Linked DNA regions of Schizosaccharomyces pombe. Changing the gene in region 3 together with the main gene of any one other region gives a genetic interaction. Each region holds a gene or a part of one and is shown on either strand. Other genes may lie near its edges.

Evidence for each region. A genetic interaction does not mean that the proteins touch.
Region 1: mutations in alp31 (region 3) and pfd2 together harm fitness more than expected from each alone (negative genetic interaction), as found in Schizosaccharomyces pombe (2 studies listed by BioGRID).
Region 2: mutations in alp31 (region 3) and pfd5 together harm fitness more than expected from each alone (negative genetic interaction), as found in Schizosaccharomyces pombe (2 studies listed by BioGRID).

Annotation. Positions count from the first base shown.
Region 1 is NC_003424.3:511,967-517,127, reverse strand, and holds pfd2 (prefoldin subunit 2), read right to left. Parts: upstream 3,327-5,161; 5' UTR 3,298-3,326; coding exon 3,270-3,297; intron 3,221-3,269; coding exon 3,130-3,220; exon of another isoform or gene 3,083-3,129; coding exon 2,959-3,082; exon of another isoform or gene 2,885-2,958; coding exon 2,783-2,884; 3' UTR 2,577-2,782; downstream 1-2,576. Other genes in the region: rna4 (Prp4 family U4/U5/U6 small nuclear ribonucleoprotein complex subunit), read right to left, coding at 1-1,232, 1,295-1,331; putative misfolded glycoprotein sensor Yos9, read left to right, coding at 1,520-1,594, 1,646-1,906, 2,046-2,576; fol3 (folylpolyglutamate synthase), read right to left, coding at 4,068-5,161.
Region 2 is NC_003423.3:4,025,695-4,031,349, reverse strand, and holds pfd5 (prefoldin subunit 5), read right to left. Parts: upstream 3,945-5,655; 5' UTR 3,933-3,944; coding exon 3,746-3,932; exon of another isoform or gene 3,692-3,745; coding exon 3,582-3,691; exon of another isoform or gene 3,539-3,581; coding exon 3,433-3,538; exon of another isoform or gene 3,368-3,432; coding exon 3,306-3,367; 3' UTR 3,234-3,305; coding exon of another isoform or gene 3,045-3,233; 3' UTR 3,004-3,044; coding exon of another isoform or gene 2,260-3,003; 3' UTR 2,207-2,259; downstream 1-2,206. Other genes in the region: heterotrimeric G protein gamma subunit Git11, read right to left, coding at 488-650, 740-795; COP9/signalosome complex subunit Csn1, read left to right, coding at 1,791-1,851, 1,911-2,185, 2,260-3,003, 3,045-3,233; SPOM_SPBC215.01 (GTPase-activating protein), read right to left, coding at 4,274-5,655. UniProt on the Schizosaccharomyces pombe protein: Binds specifically to cytosolic chaperonin (c-CPN) and transfers target proteins to it. Binds to nascent polypeptide chain and promotes folding in an environment in which there are many competing pathways for nonnative proteins.
Region 3 is NC_003424.3:3,373,892-3,380,281, reverse strand, and holds alp31 (tubulin-specific chaperone cofactor A Alp31), read right to left. Parts: upstream 3,177-6,390; 5' UTR 3,135-3,176; coding exon 3,066-3,134; intron 3,003-3,065; coding exon 2,916-3,002; intron 2,764-2,915; coding exon 2,560-2,763; 3' UTR 2,382-2,559; coding exon of another isoform or gene 2,324-2,381; 3' UTR 2,279-2,323; coding exon of another isoform or gene 2,261-2,278; 3' UTR 2,214-2,260; downstream 1-2,213. Other genes in the region: SPOM_SPAC8E11.05C (uncharacterized protein), read right to left, coding at 994-2,010; SPOM_SPAC8E11.06 (uncharacterized protein), read left to right, coding at 2,188-2,213, 2,261-2,278, 2,324-2,381; SPOM_SPAC8E11.08C (uncharacterized protein), read right to left, coding at 4,464-4,766; SPOM_SPAC8E11.12 (uncharacterized protein), read right to left, coding at 5,278-5,586; SPOM_SPAC8E11.10 (sorbose reductase), read left to right, coding at 6,298-6,390. UniProt on the Schizosaccharomyces pombe protein: Required for the maintenance of microtubule structures and cell polarity. Beta-tubulin-folding protein; may have a regulatory role in the tubulin-folding pathway.

The sequences.
Region 1 (5,161 bases), 2.9 Mb from region 3:
CAACGGGTTCCAAAGCTTTACGCAGCCATCATAACCACTCGTAGCGATGAATCTGTTAACACCTGATTCAATATAACGAACGTCTGAAACAAGAGAAGAATGTGCGGGAATAGTATGTGCCAATGACACTTTCCGCAAGTCCCATATTTTCACAGTATCATCGGCTGAAGAAGTTGCAAGTTGGTAGCCGTTTGGACTCCAAGCCATCGCGACAATTTGACGAATATGTTCATCTAATACCATTATTGATTTGCCTGATCGAAGATCCCAAATCCGACCGATAGCATCATTACCACCTGAGCTAACTAACGACCCATCTGGCTGACAGGCGATTGAAAAAATCCCTTCCGAATGACCTTCTTGCATAAGCAACTCAACGCCTGTATGTACATCCCATAACCGCCATGTAGTGTCGAATGAGGCAGAAACTAAGTAATCACCACTTGGATGAAAAGCAACTCGACCAACACGAGCCAAATGTCCTTCCAAACGTAACAGTGGAGTAGATTGACTTGCTTTCCACAAACAAACAGTATTGTCTGCGGCTCCAGTCGCTAAAGTCAGCTGCTCAGAATCTGCATCCCATGCCTGACATAGAGGATACCAATCCAAACCAGAAACTCGGTCGGTATGGCCGCGAAACAATTGAACCTCTGAGAGGTTATCAGAATTCCACACCTTGACCTGGCCACCCCAGCTTCCGCTAGCAAAATGATTTCCATTATTACTGAATCTAACAATGGCTATTGGTCGCTCACCACCTATCTGAGAGCCCATCAATTCAGCCTTTTGTAAATGTTCGATTGAAGACTTTCCGGAAAGTACAATTTCAGGTACTGGAATCTCGGAAATTTCCCGTTCTTTTTTTAATCTGAGCTTTGCCTTTTCCAAGGAGTAAAGAGCTATTTTTTTACGAGCAACTAATAGTTCGTGACTTCCTTGAACATACGTCTCCTTCTCAATATTTTCAGAAGCCCCTTGGTCTACATCTAATGGATTGTCTCCTTCTAGGGACTTTTCGATCATTAATTGCTGAAGCCTTTGGCGTCGGGCTAAGGCATCTTCACCAAAATAAGTTATGGGTTCACCATAACGACGCAGATATTCACGAACTTTGGAATCTTCATAAGGAATTTTAAGAGCCTTAATGCGATCCTTTTCCTTTTGCTCCGCGTAATAAGCTGCTTGTTCTTTTGTAAACCGCGTTATCCCTTCTGAAAACGGTCTTGTTTCTAAAGTTTTTTATTAGTTTAAAATTTAAAAGGAGGAGTTAATGCTTCTAGTAGCAACGTACCTAATTCACCAAGTGAAATGCCCTCGTTTTCATTCATGTTAACAATCTCGTGTAACACTTACCTCTAATGTAAACTACTATTTTTTACGCACTATCGTATTTAGCTTTTTGTAAATTGTTCGAGCTTTGCGCACTTCGGTATACTGTGATATAACGCATATGTTCAGTTCAAGTATGTTTCCACATTTGATTCTACCTGCAATCGGCTCATCTAAAGTTAGGACTATGGTGCTACCATTTGCTTTTGTGGGGTTTTTTATTTTTCCAATATGTTTAGCTTCTTTGTTAGACTGGAATGATGTATGCTCTTGAACCTAATTTCTCTTCAATTCTAACGGACTTCCTTTGTAGGCATATGAATATCCTAAATATTCGTTTGAATGGAGTAATGTGTCAATATTAGAGGGCGACATTGACTCAATTAAAGAAAAAACTGAAAAAACTAAATTATCGTCATTATTCTATGCTGGAAAGCATGAATATTTTTGTGTATATCCCAATGCGTCTCTTATAAAACAAAATAGCACAACCGAACCAAGCTATGATTTACAAGAATTGCGGATACAAGGGACTGAAAAAATCAATGAGCTTGCTAATGTATTTTTAATCGAGGTACGAGTTCTAATTGTTTTATTTGTCTTAAACAAACCAACTTTACTAAAAGGTCATTATTTGACATGTCCATAAAAATTTTAGAATTAATGACTACTTTTAGTACATGTAGTGTTTTTCAAGCTAATCATTGTATTAGAATCGTGGTTATTGGACTTATGACTATGTCTACGGTCAACACGTGCGTCAATATCATTTGGAGCCGCAGCAAGGTTCTGACAAAGTCCTTGCTAACCCTATGTATATACTTGGTACGGCACCTAACACTCAAACTAAAAAGAATTTGGAAGAAAATTGGGCTATTGGATTTGTTGAAGGTAAAGCATATTTGCAAACAACTTTCCGAAATGGGACTATGTGCGACATTACTAAGAGACCAAGACACGTAATTCTAAGTTATGAATGCAGTACAAATTCGGATACTCCTGAAATTACTCAATATCAAGAAGTTTCAAGCTGTGCATATTCAATGACTATTCACGTTCCCGGTTTATGCTCATTACCTGCTTTCAAAATTCAAGAGGACATACCCTCTGAAAAAATTGTGTGCTATAATGTAATTAAAGAAAAATCAAACGAAGTCGACCATAAGGATTCCCAGCACGTTGTTGATGAAGTTGCTCAAACATCTCCGCCTGAGGTGAAGGAGGTAGAGACGCAATCAAGTTAGTTCTACCTAACTTACTACATGTATTAAGTCTACGGTTTAAGTGAAACTCTAATAACATAAAGTGATGATATTTGATGACACAAATACTCTTGGATTCTATCCCTGTTCCTCTGTTTAGGAAAAAAATGTTAAACCGAAGATAAAGCACTTGAAAAACAGTCGGCGTGTCAATGAACGCAACTGCGCAATTAATGGAGTCATCTGTATTATTGTCTAACGACTTGAATTTTATTGTCTTTTTGAAACTTTTGGAATTCTGCTTCGAGCTGCTTATACTGGTCGAGCAAACCATTCATGGCTGTTTGAATCTAATATTTTGATTAGTACATCAAGACCAAAAATTCATCTGACAATAAAGGGTCAAAATAAAAAAATTCCTTACCCCTTCTTGAGTAGTTTTAAGGATAGGCACAACAGTTCCCACCGTTCTCTCCACTAGCACTCCATGGATCATTCGAAAACAACGTCGATTATTATCCATGGAGTTTAATGTGTCCATAACAAGTCTTTTTAGTTAGGTATTTAATTTAAAAATTTTTTATGTATCACATACTTATGTTCGTCAGCATCGGTTTCCAAATCGACAATCTTCTGCGCAATTTGTTGTAACCGAGACTTATATGAATTGTACTGCGTCTGTAGAACTGGAACTGGTCAACTATTTTGTATTTTAAACTCATCCACAGTACATACTCTGCTGCCGAGAAGGTTGTTCAGCCATTCTGCTTTTTTGTATACTCAAAAAATGTTGGTGGATTATACATGTTATATCTAAAACGTATACGAATTTTAGTGCGTAGCAATCATTGTTGCTGTAATGATAGATAACAAGCGCTATGGATTACGGTAAATCTGTAATTAATTAGACTCTGAGTATAATTTTAAAACAGTAATTAAATGTTTGTGTATTTTAAAATTAATGTAATAGTTAAACTATATTAGTCTAATTTTTAAATGCCTATCATTTGCACTATACGTATATCAACTTGATTAGCTCAACCTGTGAGATAGAAGGGTATATTTTTTTAACGATTTCAGCGTTTTACTTATTTTATTGCAGTTACGACAGTATTTAATAATAATTAAAAGAAAGGCGGAATCTTTCAATGTGCTAAATATGCTTCAGTTATCCCACCTTATCTTGTAAGAATTGTAAATCAAGATCTAGTCACATAATGAAAATAATATCTGTTTTATTAAGGCTGCAGGCAGAGCGCACCAAGTATTTAAACTAATGTATTCGTAATCTATAAGTCAATTTCTAACTCAATATCTTAACTCACACCAAAAACCCATCAAAGCTTAATATAAATCTTTTATCTTTTTTCTATTAACCTGATAGCATCATTCAAGCTTCTTTGAAAGTAAATTTTAGTTTTTAAGTCATGGAACAAAATTCTCTAGAGCACAATTCATCACTCTGTGACAATTCATATGATAAATTTGTCAAACAAGGAAAAACGTATGAAAGTAAACAGCACGATTTAGAGGCTATACGTCCAGTTTTAAATAACGATACATGTCTCCTAGAAGATAAAGACTACCGCATACAATTACGCTGGAATTCTTCTCTTTTGCCAGTCTTAAAATTTCGCTTATTGTTAGATTATCTGCAGTATAGCATTCCACAGAAGATTCCGAAGATATACTGTTTTTTATAACTTCAGGTTCCATTGATTTAATCCAGGGCATCCCACTTACTGAAGAAAAATTTGTCGCTATAACGGTATCTCCTTTACGAAGAAGGATTTTCATAATCCCAGTAACGTCTTTTGTGTTAGTGAAAGCTACTACCCATGATACTGATTTATTGTGCTCACGTCTTTGCGAATTTACAAATTTCGCAAGCTCAATCGCAGCTTCTTTATTGTGTGCTCCGTCAAATAAAATATCACCCAAAGAAGGAACCGAACGAATGTCAAGCCTTCCAGGCCAAGATGTATTTTTTACACCATTTTGTACATGGGGAAGCATAATTGAAAATGACGAAGAAAGGATATCGAGAGCAGTTACTGCACAAGCCAAATTTTGTCCTTGATAATCCCCCTTCAATGGAGTACTAAAAGTATTGGTTCCCCAATTTGGAGTATTGATGATCCACTCATTTTTGTTTTCACCTGATTTTCCTTTTGCCAAATAAAACGGATGTGCCCTCGTTTCCTCTGCACTTAATTTTAATTGATTTAGGACGTTAACTTCATTTAACCCATCAACCACGCACGGAACATTCTTTTTAAAGATCCCAGCCTTTTCTTTAGCAATAGCCTCTAAGGTATTTCCTAAAAATGCTTGATGGTCCAAGCAAATACGTGAAATTATTGAAAGAACTGGTTCTTCAAATACATTAGTAGCATCCAAACGACCACCCATTCCTGTTTCAATTACAGCCACACGAACACCTGAATGATGAAAACATTGGAACGCAGTAGCAGTTAACAATTCAAATTCCGTCGCTTTTGTACGAAATCTTCTATCCACTTCAATCACCTGCTTCCAACAAGTATTAAATATCTCTTCACTAGCAATCTGACCATTTATGCTTATGGTATCTCTTGGCTCTAAGAAATGAGGACTTGTATAGCGTC
Region 2 (5,655 bases), on a different chromosome or scaffold from region 3:
TAGCTTCAAGTGTTATAAGAGATTAGAATTTTTAAATATATAAATAAACCAAAAAAAAATAGAATAGTTAACAATCCCCCGAACATAACCTTTTATCCTGAGCGCTGTTTTGTTTGCTTTGAAGAAAACAAAGAATAACAAATTCAGATAATGAGAAAGTCTCGTCAAAAAATTGTATTTTATATGAATAAATAACGATTGAATCAGTATTAGAAAATTATTAAGTTAGGAGAAAATGGTCCACTGTGTCGGTTATTTGACGAATTGCCATTCCGATAACTAAGGTCCAAAAGAATAATTATGGTAAAATCGAAATAGTACGAAATAAAATAAAGAGTATAAATAACAAATTTACCAATCTGATAAATCACTCATCCTAATGATTGGTATAGGAATAGACAATAAATGCTCCTTTCATGTTAATTACTAGGTGAGCACAGACGGTAGGAAGTGCACGTAAGATGCTTAAACAACGTTCCACAAAACATTAGGAAATAGTACAGCATTTGGTAGTGGCCTTATCCTTCGTCGCTTTACCAGGCTTAAAATGCTGCTGCTGCTTTGTCTTCGAACTGACTGACGGATTTGCTTTAGGCGGAGCAACCGATACCATCATTGGTTCCGGTATATTATTTGCATAATTAGCAAATCTAAAGTTCAGTTAGCAACTTTTCAAACTTTGAGATCAAATCAAGCATTTTTTGTTTCACGTCATGAAATTTGCTGTAAAAACACTTACTCCTGTCTTGCTTGTTGAACCGATATTTTTTCATTCAATAAAGCCTCTGTTTCCATTTGTTTAAGGACCGATCAACTACAATTTCAATAAGTAATGCCTGTTAAGTAAAATTATAGCCTTGCCTGACCATTTCATCATACATATATGTAGGTGTGCTTCTAAGCGCACTAAGTATCGTTATTTGATTATGTTGTTTAACCTTATATTCCCTAATATAAAAAGAGGAAAAAAAATAGAATAGCAGTTTTCCAATTGTAAATTTGACACTACTCAAATGCCTTTCACTTTCAGGATTTTTTTATCTCTTTAGTTTGTTCTTTCCAAGTAGAATACGCATATATTACACTTCTCTTAACAAAATAATTGTTAATGCGAAAACATATAAACAATAAACTTGTGACAGATACAAAGATTTTGTCATTGGGAGGACAAAGTAGATACTTTATGTTGATTGGATTTTTAAAACGAAATTATGAATTCTGCTCGTAAATTTCTTTACTATCGTTGTCTTATTTTCTAAGTAAAGAAGTTACATAACCAAACTTCCTATAACTCGAAGTAGATTAGTAAATTCAACCACCTTAAGTTTCCTTTTTTTTTAAAAGAAAATTTATTATTTTTTATTTAGACTTCAACAATTCTTTGGCTATAGATTTGTTCGTTTATTTTTTAAATCTCAATTAGGAAATGCTTTAATTAGAGTTGAGCATTGTTTCAAGGGAATAGTTAAAAGATATTTGCAACAATTTTCATATTTTTTATTTTTATTATTGAATACATGGGGTTCTAATCTTGGTATCTCATATTAATAGTAAACTCATATCCTAACTTTAGATGCGATTTTGCTTGGAAATTTGGGGAAAGAAATAAAATCAATATGATATGTTTTTCTCGTTTCCGTAAAGTAGAACTAATTAACTACATACATCTTCGACTTGAAAAAATCACCATCTTATTATAGCTTTTATACATCTGGTACTCGTCACTGGCCTATAACCAGTTGGCCAATTCTATAACCTACAGTGTTCCGACTAGTTACGAGTTTTCTATTATGAGCTTAAATCTACTAGTCAATCAGGAAGAATTAAAGAGATATCTGGATGAATATGGTGGTAAGAGTTTTTCAATTGATGCATTTTTGCAAGTCATTCTTTTATTCACAGTTTCATAGTATGGTCCAAAATATTTCGCGCGCTGTTTGTCGCCCGTAATTCTAAGCCGTTAAGAAGTTTTTGTGTTCATTATGCCATTAAAGAATTGAAAGAAAAGACATATAATCTAGAGTTGTACCAGTCTCTATTCGAGGAGTTTCAAGATTGCTTCGAAAACGAGCAGCTGGACGTAGAATGGGTTGAAAGCGTTACTTTTCATAGGAAACAAAATCTAGAACAATTAAGAAGGGAACTAAAAGCCTATAAAAACAACTTAATACGAGAATCTATAAGAGTATGAGCTACAAGATAACTTTTTGCTTCACAGACTTTTTATTACATCCTTTGTTACAATTCTAACAACTTTAGGCGGCACAACTAGATTTAGCTTCTTTTTTTGCTGATGTGGGCCAGTTTGATAGTGCTTTAAGATCATATGCCAAAGTTCGCGAATATTGTACAAATGCTGGACAAATTGCTCATTTATCCTTAGAGTTAATGAGAATTTCTATTTGGATTGGTAATTATTCTCATGTACTAGCCTTCGGGTCTCGCGCCAAGTCTACTGTTAGTGCAGCCATGGAGCTAACTAGTCCTATTTATGCATACTGTGGATTGGCCAACTTTTGCTTGGGTGATTACGAAGAGGCCCTGGCTCATTTTTTAAAAGTTGAAACTGATACCTCTGATGGTATTATTACAAAAACTGACATTTCAGTGTATATCTCACTTTGTGCACTAGCGTGCTGGGATCATAAACGTCTGATTCAAGAGCTTGAAAGAAATGAAGAGTTCAATGCTTTGTCAGATTTAGACCCTTCCCTGAGACGTTGTTTGCAAGCGAAATGTAATCGCAAATATAGTCTTTTGCTTGATACATTACAGCAAAATGCTCAAGACTATTCTTTAGACATGTATCTGGCTCCTCAATTGACAAATTTATTTTCCCTTATTCGGGAGCGTTCACTTCTTGACTATTTAATTCCTTACAGTGCTTTGCCGTTCAGCAAAATTGCAGTTGATTTTCATATTGATGAGAACTTCATTGAGAAAAATTTATTAGAAATAATCGAAGCCAAAAAATTAAATGGCAAGGTGGACTCTCTTCAAAAGGTAAGTATAATAAATCTGCTATATTGGTCTAACTTTATAAGCGTGTTTATATCGAACCTTCTTCAGAGCCTGAAAACTTCGAGGACATAAAAAATATCGCGCAAACTAGTTTGCTTTACAGCAAGGCTCTTTACTTACAAACATTGGCGGCGATGAACACTGAAAATACTGACGACGAAGCTCCAGTTATCGCTCAAACGAACATTACCGCGGAAGATTCACAGAACTAACAAAAAGCATGCACATCATATAATTGGTTAATCCTTTACTTACTTTTTTTGAAATTTCATTAATTATTTAGCTTATGAAGATTTAGTTGCAGCTGTTGTAGCTGTTGCCTTTTGTTGCATAATGTTTTGAACGGCTACAGAGAATTAGCAAATTGTTGATAATAAGATAAAAATTGATCTGTACTGTAAATGCTCATACCTCTAATTTGAACTGATTTTGCGTCAATGGCATTGTTGAGGTTCTCGATACTGCTGGCGAGATATTCACATTTTCTTTTATAATATTCGGTAGCTTCTCCAGCGGACTAATGTCGTTAGGTTTAAAAATCTCTTATATATTAAAAATACCTTTTCAACGTAATAACCAGTCCCAATATCGACCAACAATTTACTGTTTCCTAAATTCAGCTTTCCAGGAACATACAAGCTTGAAGTCAAAGGTACCAAAACCTCCTTTCCTATTGACAATAGTTAGTGAAACATATGCAAAAAAAATTTCAGTTTGTCTATACCATCGTTCTCAGCCCGCACAGCATCGTTAACGTTTGCCAGGCATTCACGAAATTTCAATTGAGCACGTCCTAGTTGTCCATAGGAGGTCGATAGATACTCTAGCTCAGAATCTAACTGTTTTATAACTTCTGATAATTGCTCCAAGCTGAGAGAAGTCAAATCGACCGCTTTATTACCTTCAGCCATTATTACGCTTCTATTAGAACAGTCAAGATACGAAGGAACTGGTAGAAATTCCAACGCTGCACTGCATTAAATTACAGGTACATGGTAATCCATTTCAATATACAATCAGTTAGTTGGTTGAAACAATATTTGTTTTAAACAGTTATTCAGAATTATACCAAACAGTGAAAGTAGAATCGAATATGTTATTGAGCAGAGGGACGCTATAGAATATATCAATATAGATGATAGATTTTTCAATAATTAATAAATTATGAGCATGAAGATTAACAAAATTTGGGAAAATAATACTAGTTAGGATGCATTATAGTGCCATTGATTAGAAGTTTAAGTATAGCTTTTTAAGCATCATTTTTTTTGTATGGATCAAATTGAAGCAAATCTTTATCGTTTTCTACAACATCACCAACATCATCTTCGGTATCTGAAGAATTTGAAGGTGTTTTTTCAGTCGCCGTAGTTTCCGATGTGGTAATTTCAGAAGTAGTATTTTGATTGCTAGTACCATTTGCGGTACTTGGACGAGAAGCGGGTTTATGCCCACGAAATGTTTTACCAATCCTATTGGTATCAATTACCAAAGAATCCAATAAACCTCTCAAACCTCCGGTGGTTGATGATTTTTCTTGGACTGGAGCTAAAACGATAGAGTCGGCGAGTCCTCCAGAAAATAATTGCTCTAATAAACCAATTGATAAAACAACCATTCTAAAAGTGGGAAGACTAACTTTGATATCACTATTAGCACCAACAGAACGGTTTTCAGAACCAGTACTGCTCATATGGTCGCTTATATCAATCAACGTATCAGAATGACCATCAGGACTAGCTTCATCAGCAAAATGAAAGCAGCGTTGTATGAATTCGCTAACTGCGGATAGATACTCATCACCCATAAACCTAGTTAACCAAAGAATAGCTTCTGAAACCTTCAAAACGTCTGGTTTATCCATAAAACCATCTCCATTAAAGTCATAAAGCTCGAATATAAAAGATATATTGCGCATTACATCCCTAAATTTCAATTCTGCAATACCGGACACCAAATCCTGTAAAGATAATGATCCAGTCATGCTTTTGTCAAATCGTAAAAACAAATGACGAAGAAAGGATGATGAATTATTGATAGCCGCTGCATCCAAACCTTTCGCCCATTCAGTAACTCCTGCTAAAAATATACAAAATTCGTCAAATTCCAACCGTGTATCAGTAGAGCTGCCTAATCCAACTCGATGTTTGGACGACAATACTTCATGATAACGGTCGTAAATATTACTTAAATCCGTACGTGTTAATGTACCGTAATTTTGTAAACTCCTAATTTGTGTTCTCTTTGCAAATGACTCAATAGAATTCATAACTCCTTCGTAATGTTTTTTCCTTTCATCTTCAATTAAAGAGTGTGTTATATGGCTAAACTTCTTGAAAGCAGTTACCAATAAAAGTTGAAACTTCGTGATAGAGGCAACGCGTTTATCTGTTGCATCTTTATAAGCCTTATCTCCCAATGATGAAAAATAATTTTTTAAAATTGATATCAACATAGTGTCTTCTGTAGCCTTCATAATTTCAGCTTCGTTGTCATATAGGATAGCCATTCCAATTTGAAACAAAACCCTTGGACCCTCTAGAAAGAAAAAGTCTAACAACCTAAACGCATACGGTAAAGGCATTGTGCAAAGGAAAAGCGACAAAAACCACGGCAAAGAAATGATGCTAAGTT
Region 3 (6,390 bases):
AGTTATAAAACAGACTGCTTAAATCTGTCAGCTGAAAACGCTTGTGCCAGAACATTACTCAATATCAATCGCGTATTCATATTCCTAGTACTGCACCAAAATCCTTTTATAAAAGCAATCGCTATACTTAAATAGTTTAATGCATTTGTCAAAATAATGGCTGGTGAATTTAGGCAATAGATGAATTGCATGTAAATCTCAAAAAAAAAAGGTTAAACTATCCATCAAGTAAGAATCATTTAGCGTCTGACAAACATACCAATAATATACAAAATTTTGCAGCTCCTATATACGATGGTTCTCGATTTACCTGTAGTAACAATCAAATTTTTATAGTCCTTTCCTTGCGTTTTTAGTCAAGAAATGCCTTAGCTTTTTTTAGTCGATAAGCCATCTAATTCCATAAGTCAATTAATTGTTTGATATTACTAGGAACGTCCAGGTTGTAAGAGAATAAGGGTACTAGTAAATCCAAAGCATTCCAAATGCAAGTCTAACGAATAAGTATAAATAAAAATAAAATTTCAACTTCCTGCTTATAATTTTAACAGTTCATTCAAGTTGTTATCAATTTGCCAGAAATGTGTCGACAAATGTTCTTAATGTTTTTTTAACGATGAATAACTTAAGTACCAACAGTGAATCAAAATTTGCTCCTTTTCTTTAGAGATAATTATGGACTATTATGTAAATAACCAAGAATGGCGCTTAGGTTAGGATACTGTTCCATTTATATTTACAAGTGGTTGACATAATATTGATAAACACATAGAGAAGAGTCATTAAAATATTAGTCATTAAAAAGAAGAGAAGAGGCAAAAGAATCGAAGAAGACAATACAGCTGAATCACAAGTCAAATCTAATCACGTTAGACGTAACAAAGGTTCGTCAGCAACAAAAATAAAACGCTTCCGTTTTATTTTACTCCCGTAAAATTAAACAAGAAAACAGCAATTCAGGAAAAGAGGTCGGTAATTAAAGATATAAAGGGATCATTTATGAGAGGAAGTGCTCCTTCTAGAAAGGAATTTACGACCAGAGTTTCTTAAACGTTTGCTATGTTGAACTAAATCATCGACAACCGTCTCATATAACAACTTATCGCTAAGAGCTGAATCCCTTTTATCGGTCCAATATCGAGCAACTTCAACAGCTTGCTGCAGAGTTGATTCTAGTAACTCTATATGCTGTTGTAAAGACTCATGAGATCGGTGGGTTAATGCGTCTTTGTTTATGCTGCATAAACGACGAGCAGCTGAATAATCTAAATATGGTTCATCCTCAGATTTTGGCAACGTCACGGAAGACAATTCTATTGTGCGTGAAGAATTGAATGATCCCTGGGTAGAAGGAGTAGGCAAAAGTTCATCCAAATCAACAGGAAGACCCATAGTAACTAAAAAAATATGCCTGATGCTAGACCTCAGCCAATCTGGCCGTTGCAGCACGGGCATTTCAATCAGTTTTTGCCAAAGAGACAATATACGATCCGGATCCAAGGAGGATTCTTCAATTGTTTTCGGAGTTTCAGGTAGTCCAAATACAGAATTGACAGCATCTTGGAAATCATCTTGCCAATCACCCATAAATGTACAGATGGGGATATCATGTTCAAATTCACCAAAATCGTCAAATTCGTCAAACTCTTCTTCCTCTTCAACTTTTTTCTCCATTTCATTGTCTACAATGCCTGATTGGGAAATACTAGCTTCTCTATTAATACTAAGACTCTCCGCCCAAACAGTTGATGTAGCGTCAAGGTCAAGTTTAGATGCTTCAACGACTTTTTGGTTTTTAGAATCGTAATCCTCTACAGGATTTAAATCATCTTCTTCAAGAAGGTGTGGATCTATTTTTGTATCAGCTCCCTCTTCGCCATCTACATCTTCCTTCAACGATGAAGATGCAGAAGGGTCAATATTTACTTCAGAGTTGCCGCCGTCAGATTTCTTCTCTTCTTCTAAACCCAACACAGGTGATTCCCTTGATAATATTGGCGGACTTGCCATAGGTATACAAATGGAACGTTTTATGCTCCCAATCTGTTTAATGTTCACGCGAAGTGTTTCTTTCTCTTTGCTCAGATGGTAAGTAACGTCAAACAATGAGCTGTACAATCTAACATAGTGATACGCTACATTACACTCACAATAAAAGTGCAAATAAATACTAGAGGACGACTGTCTATGCTGCTTGTTAGCAGGAACATTTGGTTGTTTTAAAATTGTTTGATTGTCCAGCTAAAATTTAAATCTCTAGTAGAATAAAGGGGAATACGTATGTTTTTTTATGTGAACAGTTTCACCTAACTGGCAAAATTAGAATAGATTGGCGAAATCTTAAAAAAGATTTAAGCATGACTTGGATAATCCTTAAGTAGTTGGGATTGTCTATTATTTTAATGGATTGGAATAAAAATCGAAGACACAGTACAGTTGAGTAGGATAGCATTGAAAGGGTGGGTAAAGAATGATGAACGTAGAACCTTTTCATGATCGTCTTTTGAAGGGTCAGTAATAAATTTTAGCAGGGATCTACAAAAGCTAGTAAATGTGTATTCAGTGGTACCCATTCGTGGGGAAATTCGTTTGCTCTTTTTCAATTACTTCTTTTGCTTTTTCTAAATATTCATTTGCTTGTTCAAGTTCAGGAGTTCCTTCGTATGCACTGTCAGAAGAAATGGATTCCAAGTCGTTCGTCGCATTACGAAGACGTACAAGAGCATCTGGCAACGCCTCAAGATGCTTCTTCAAAACAAATTTCTAGAGGTCCAGAATGTCAGTACTTTGATTATTTTTTATTTTAAAAAAGATACGCTAAAGCGGAAACCACCGAAAAGTATCTTCAGCTTGGTAGAAACATCTTCTAGCACAACACGTCCAACGTTTATATGGTTTCAACTAATGCAACATACCTGATGCTCAATTTCTGCAGAATCTTCCCCATTATCAATTTTACTTTGTACACGTTTCTCGGCCTCGTTAATATCGATATGAGCCAACTAAACAATTGTTGAGGTCAGAAAATTCCATCTACAAAATCGCGATCCAAAAAGGAAACTTACTTCTACATCTTTAATAATTCTTTTAACGACATTAGTTTTGATGACTAAGCTCCTAACAGTATTTGACATGGTAGAAAATAAAATGGACGCGATATGCAAAGGAATAATGTTAGGTTGGATGATTTTCCTTGACTGCAGTGTAGGTAACGTTGGAATACAAAGGAATGCTAATGTTAGCGTGTGGTGATAAGTTACGAGAAACGATTAAGAAAAGCTAGTTCTAGTTAAGTTTTCAATTTCTTTTAAAGCCCTTTCCTTAAATTCCTAAAAAAGGGTATTTGATTAAATGTTTGCATCAAGTATCAGACTAGTTATTGATCGACAAACGTTTCATTCCTATATTATGTATGAGATAAAATTGCTCAGTTATTTCTAAATTTACGATTCACCGATACTTGTACCAAAAATTTCATGCTTTTATGGATGCTCAATCATATGGGAGGTTGAGCTTTTCGGGATTCAGCTATATGAAAATTTTCTAGCGCGTAATTCATTATATTTAGACGTAATTGCTTTTACAAATATTTTCCAAAACAAAAATTTCTGATTCTCCGTACACACAGTTATCTCCCAACAACCGAAATTGTTAAAAGCACGATTTCATATAAGGATAGGTTGATTGCTAATCACTCGAACCACAGTCTGTTAATAATTAGTCAACTTTGCCTAGCCAAAAAAATTCAGCTTCTATCTTAATCCTTGGAAAACAAAAAATAAAAAAAGGACCTAATACCCTCTTTCAAAGTAGATCCTGTACAAGATATTTAGTCTACTCAAAAAGCCGGTACAACGATATTAATGTCAACAGACTTCGGTATAATGGGACCAGTCTTCAATGTGAGGATAATAGCTAAAATCCTTTACTCTATATAGGACTTTAAATGGATCCTTGAATATTATTCTGTTTTCTAAAATGATTGATCATATTCTACGCCACAGATGCATCAAAAATTCAAATCATCGCTTGGGAGATAAAAGAGTGAACGCTTTTTCATAATCGAACAGCAACCTTTCGAACCCTAGTAGTCATTAGTATTTTAATCCACTTTTTTTTTTGCAAAGCTATGAAAAACAAAGACTGCAACCTGGTATAAGCATTTTAAACATATCGTACTTTGCGTGATCTAACAAATTAATCTCTATCTTGTCAGTTCACAACTTTGGACAGATACAGATGATGAATTTCGACAATTAAACATTTGCAAACAAGTCAAAGCTCAACATACAAGCATTCACTGTTTAACGCTTTTTGAACTTTCTCATTTCCTGAAACGTTTGTTTACAAGCTGATATAAAAAAAGGGATTGAATTGAACGGCTCAGTTGATATAGATTAATTTAAAAAGTGAACTCCGTTTAGAAAGTATCGCATAAGTTAAAAAATGGTATTCAAACAAAGCTAACAAAAACGAAACAAATCGCATTTTCCCATGAAAAATACAAGGTTGTTCGGAAAACTGCATATTTGAACATGATGACAGCCAAGAAGAAAAATAGAAGGATTTATTAGAATTCCCTTAAACTTTTCATTATAGTCTTTTCGGTACGGTAACAACCATATATACAATCTATACATTTCTTCAGACCATTCAAATCTTAAAATGGAGCTCCCCTTCAATTGAAGAAACGGAAAATTTTTTCTTGTCAAATTTTTACAGACTACTAACCTACTAAACAGAACCTCATTAGTGGTAAAGTCCATTTTAATACTTCTTGCTTATTAATTCATTATTTTATTGCCGTAAAACATAAATTATCCTTTTATTTTCTTCTTCTTTTCTTCCCTTGTATAATACTCATTTTTCGCCAAGTCTCAAGTATTCCAGTGTTCGATTCCGACCATGGAAACGATCTCGGTCGGGTAAAATGAAGACTCTGGTAGTCTCCAGGCTATTGCATCTCGTTCAGATTTGGGTTGATCTTCTGGAACAATGCGGGCAACTGGTAGAACGTTAATGAGGGAACAGATGAAAAACTGGAAACCTAGATGCGTGACAGGAGAATCTGGTGTTCTTTTTTTTTGAATAAGTATATTTAATAGTTAACAATATCGAACATGGTTTTAGTTAAAAACCATGCAGAAACTACTGAACGCAATTAAGTTTAATAGTTCTTCTACTTACACATTTTTTCAACCGTTACTTTACTAGTATAGTCTGGAAATATATATATATAGTTATTAACATGTAACTATTACCTTTTTTAGATAATATTTAAAAAGACATTCTTCCCATCATCCCGCATCTTGACTGTACAATATAATACCGGTACTTAATATAATAGTAAGACGAACAGTGATTTTGAGCTTCTTTCGGATCTGATATTGCTATGGGTGGAAAAAGAAAATTTCGGATGGATTTAGGATTAATGCAGAAGAGAATTTGAGGTAATTGAGTATCATTTTCAAGCGAATTTTTGCAAAACGAAATTGTGTTGCCCTTATAGAACTCGCCAACTTTTGGTTCCTCTTCCGAGTCCAGTTCTTTAATCGCTTGCATCTTGATCGAGAGAAGCGAAATCATACCCCAAATGGCCAAAATCACTTGGCCATTTGTTAATTTAAGCTACCTTTGTCGTCCGACGCTCCCCTTCTTAATCATGGGATTTTATCCGTACTTTCTCCCCGGATTTAAGAGAAACTCGTAGTATTTCACGAAAAAAAAAGAAAAGATGAAATGAGTTTCCAATTTATAATAAATGAATTGTCATTCTCACATTTATGAATTGGATTTCTATATTTTGCGGGTTACACTATTTTGACTCCTATGTGTGTAGCCTAGTTTCTCGCAGTTATTCATTCAAACTTTCCACTCAGCCATCACAATACCCGATATTATCGGTTTGATGGATCTACTAGTGTCACTCGAGTAAAACGACCGTTTTGTCTATTTGCGCTATTTTTTTCCTCCTTTGCAAATCGTTTATTTACACATATATTTTTTCCAACAACACTATTTAGGACTGCTCTTTCTGTGTGTCAAAAAGAGGAAATTTTTTGTATAAAAGCCTTGGGTCCATTGCCACAAAGCAATTTTTCTTTCTGGTTGCCAAGAGTGCCTTCTCTTACTATTAAAAATCTTTCGGAAAAAAATTTTTGCTTTTCATCTAATCAAAAGCTATTAAACCGGTGTTCATAAATTTTACTACCACTTTTTGTTCGCTAAAATATTTTTGTGGGGTTTTTTTTTTCTTAATAATTATTACATCGTTCGGTTTTTTTCATATATCTCATAATGACTTCTATGTTTTCTCTTAAAGGTAAAACCACTCTCATCACCGGTGGTTCAGGCGGTATCGGATTTTCGATTGCTAAAGCATTCGCTGCC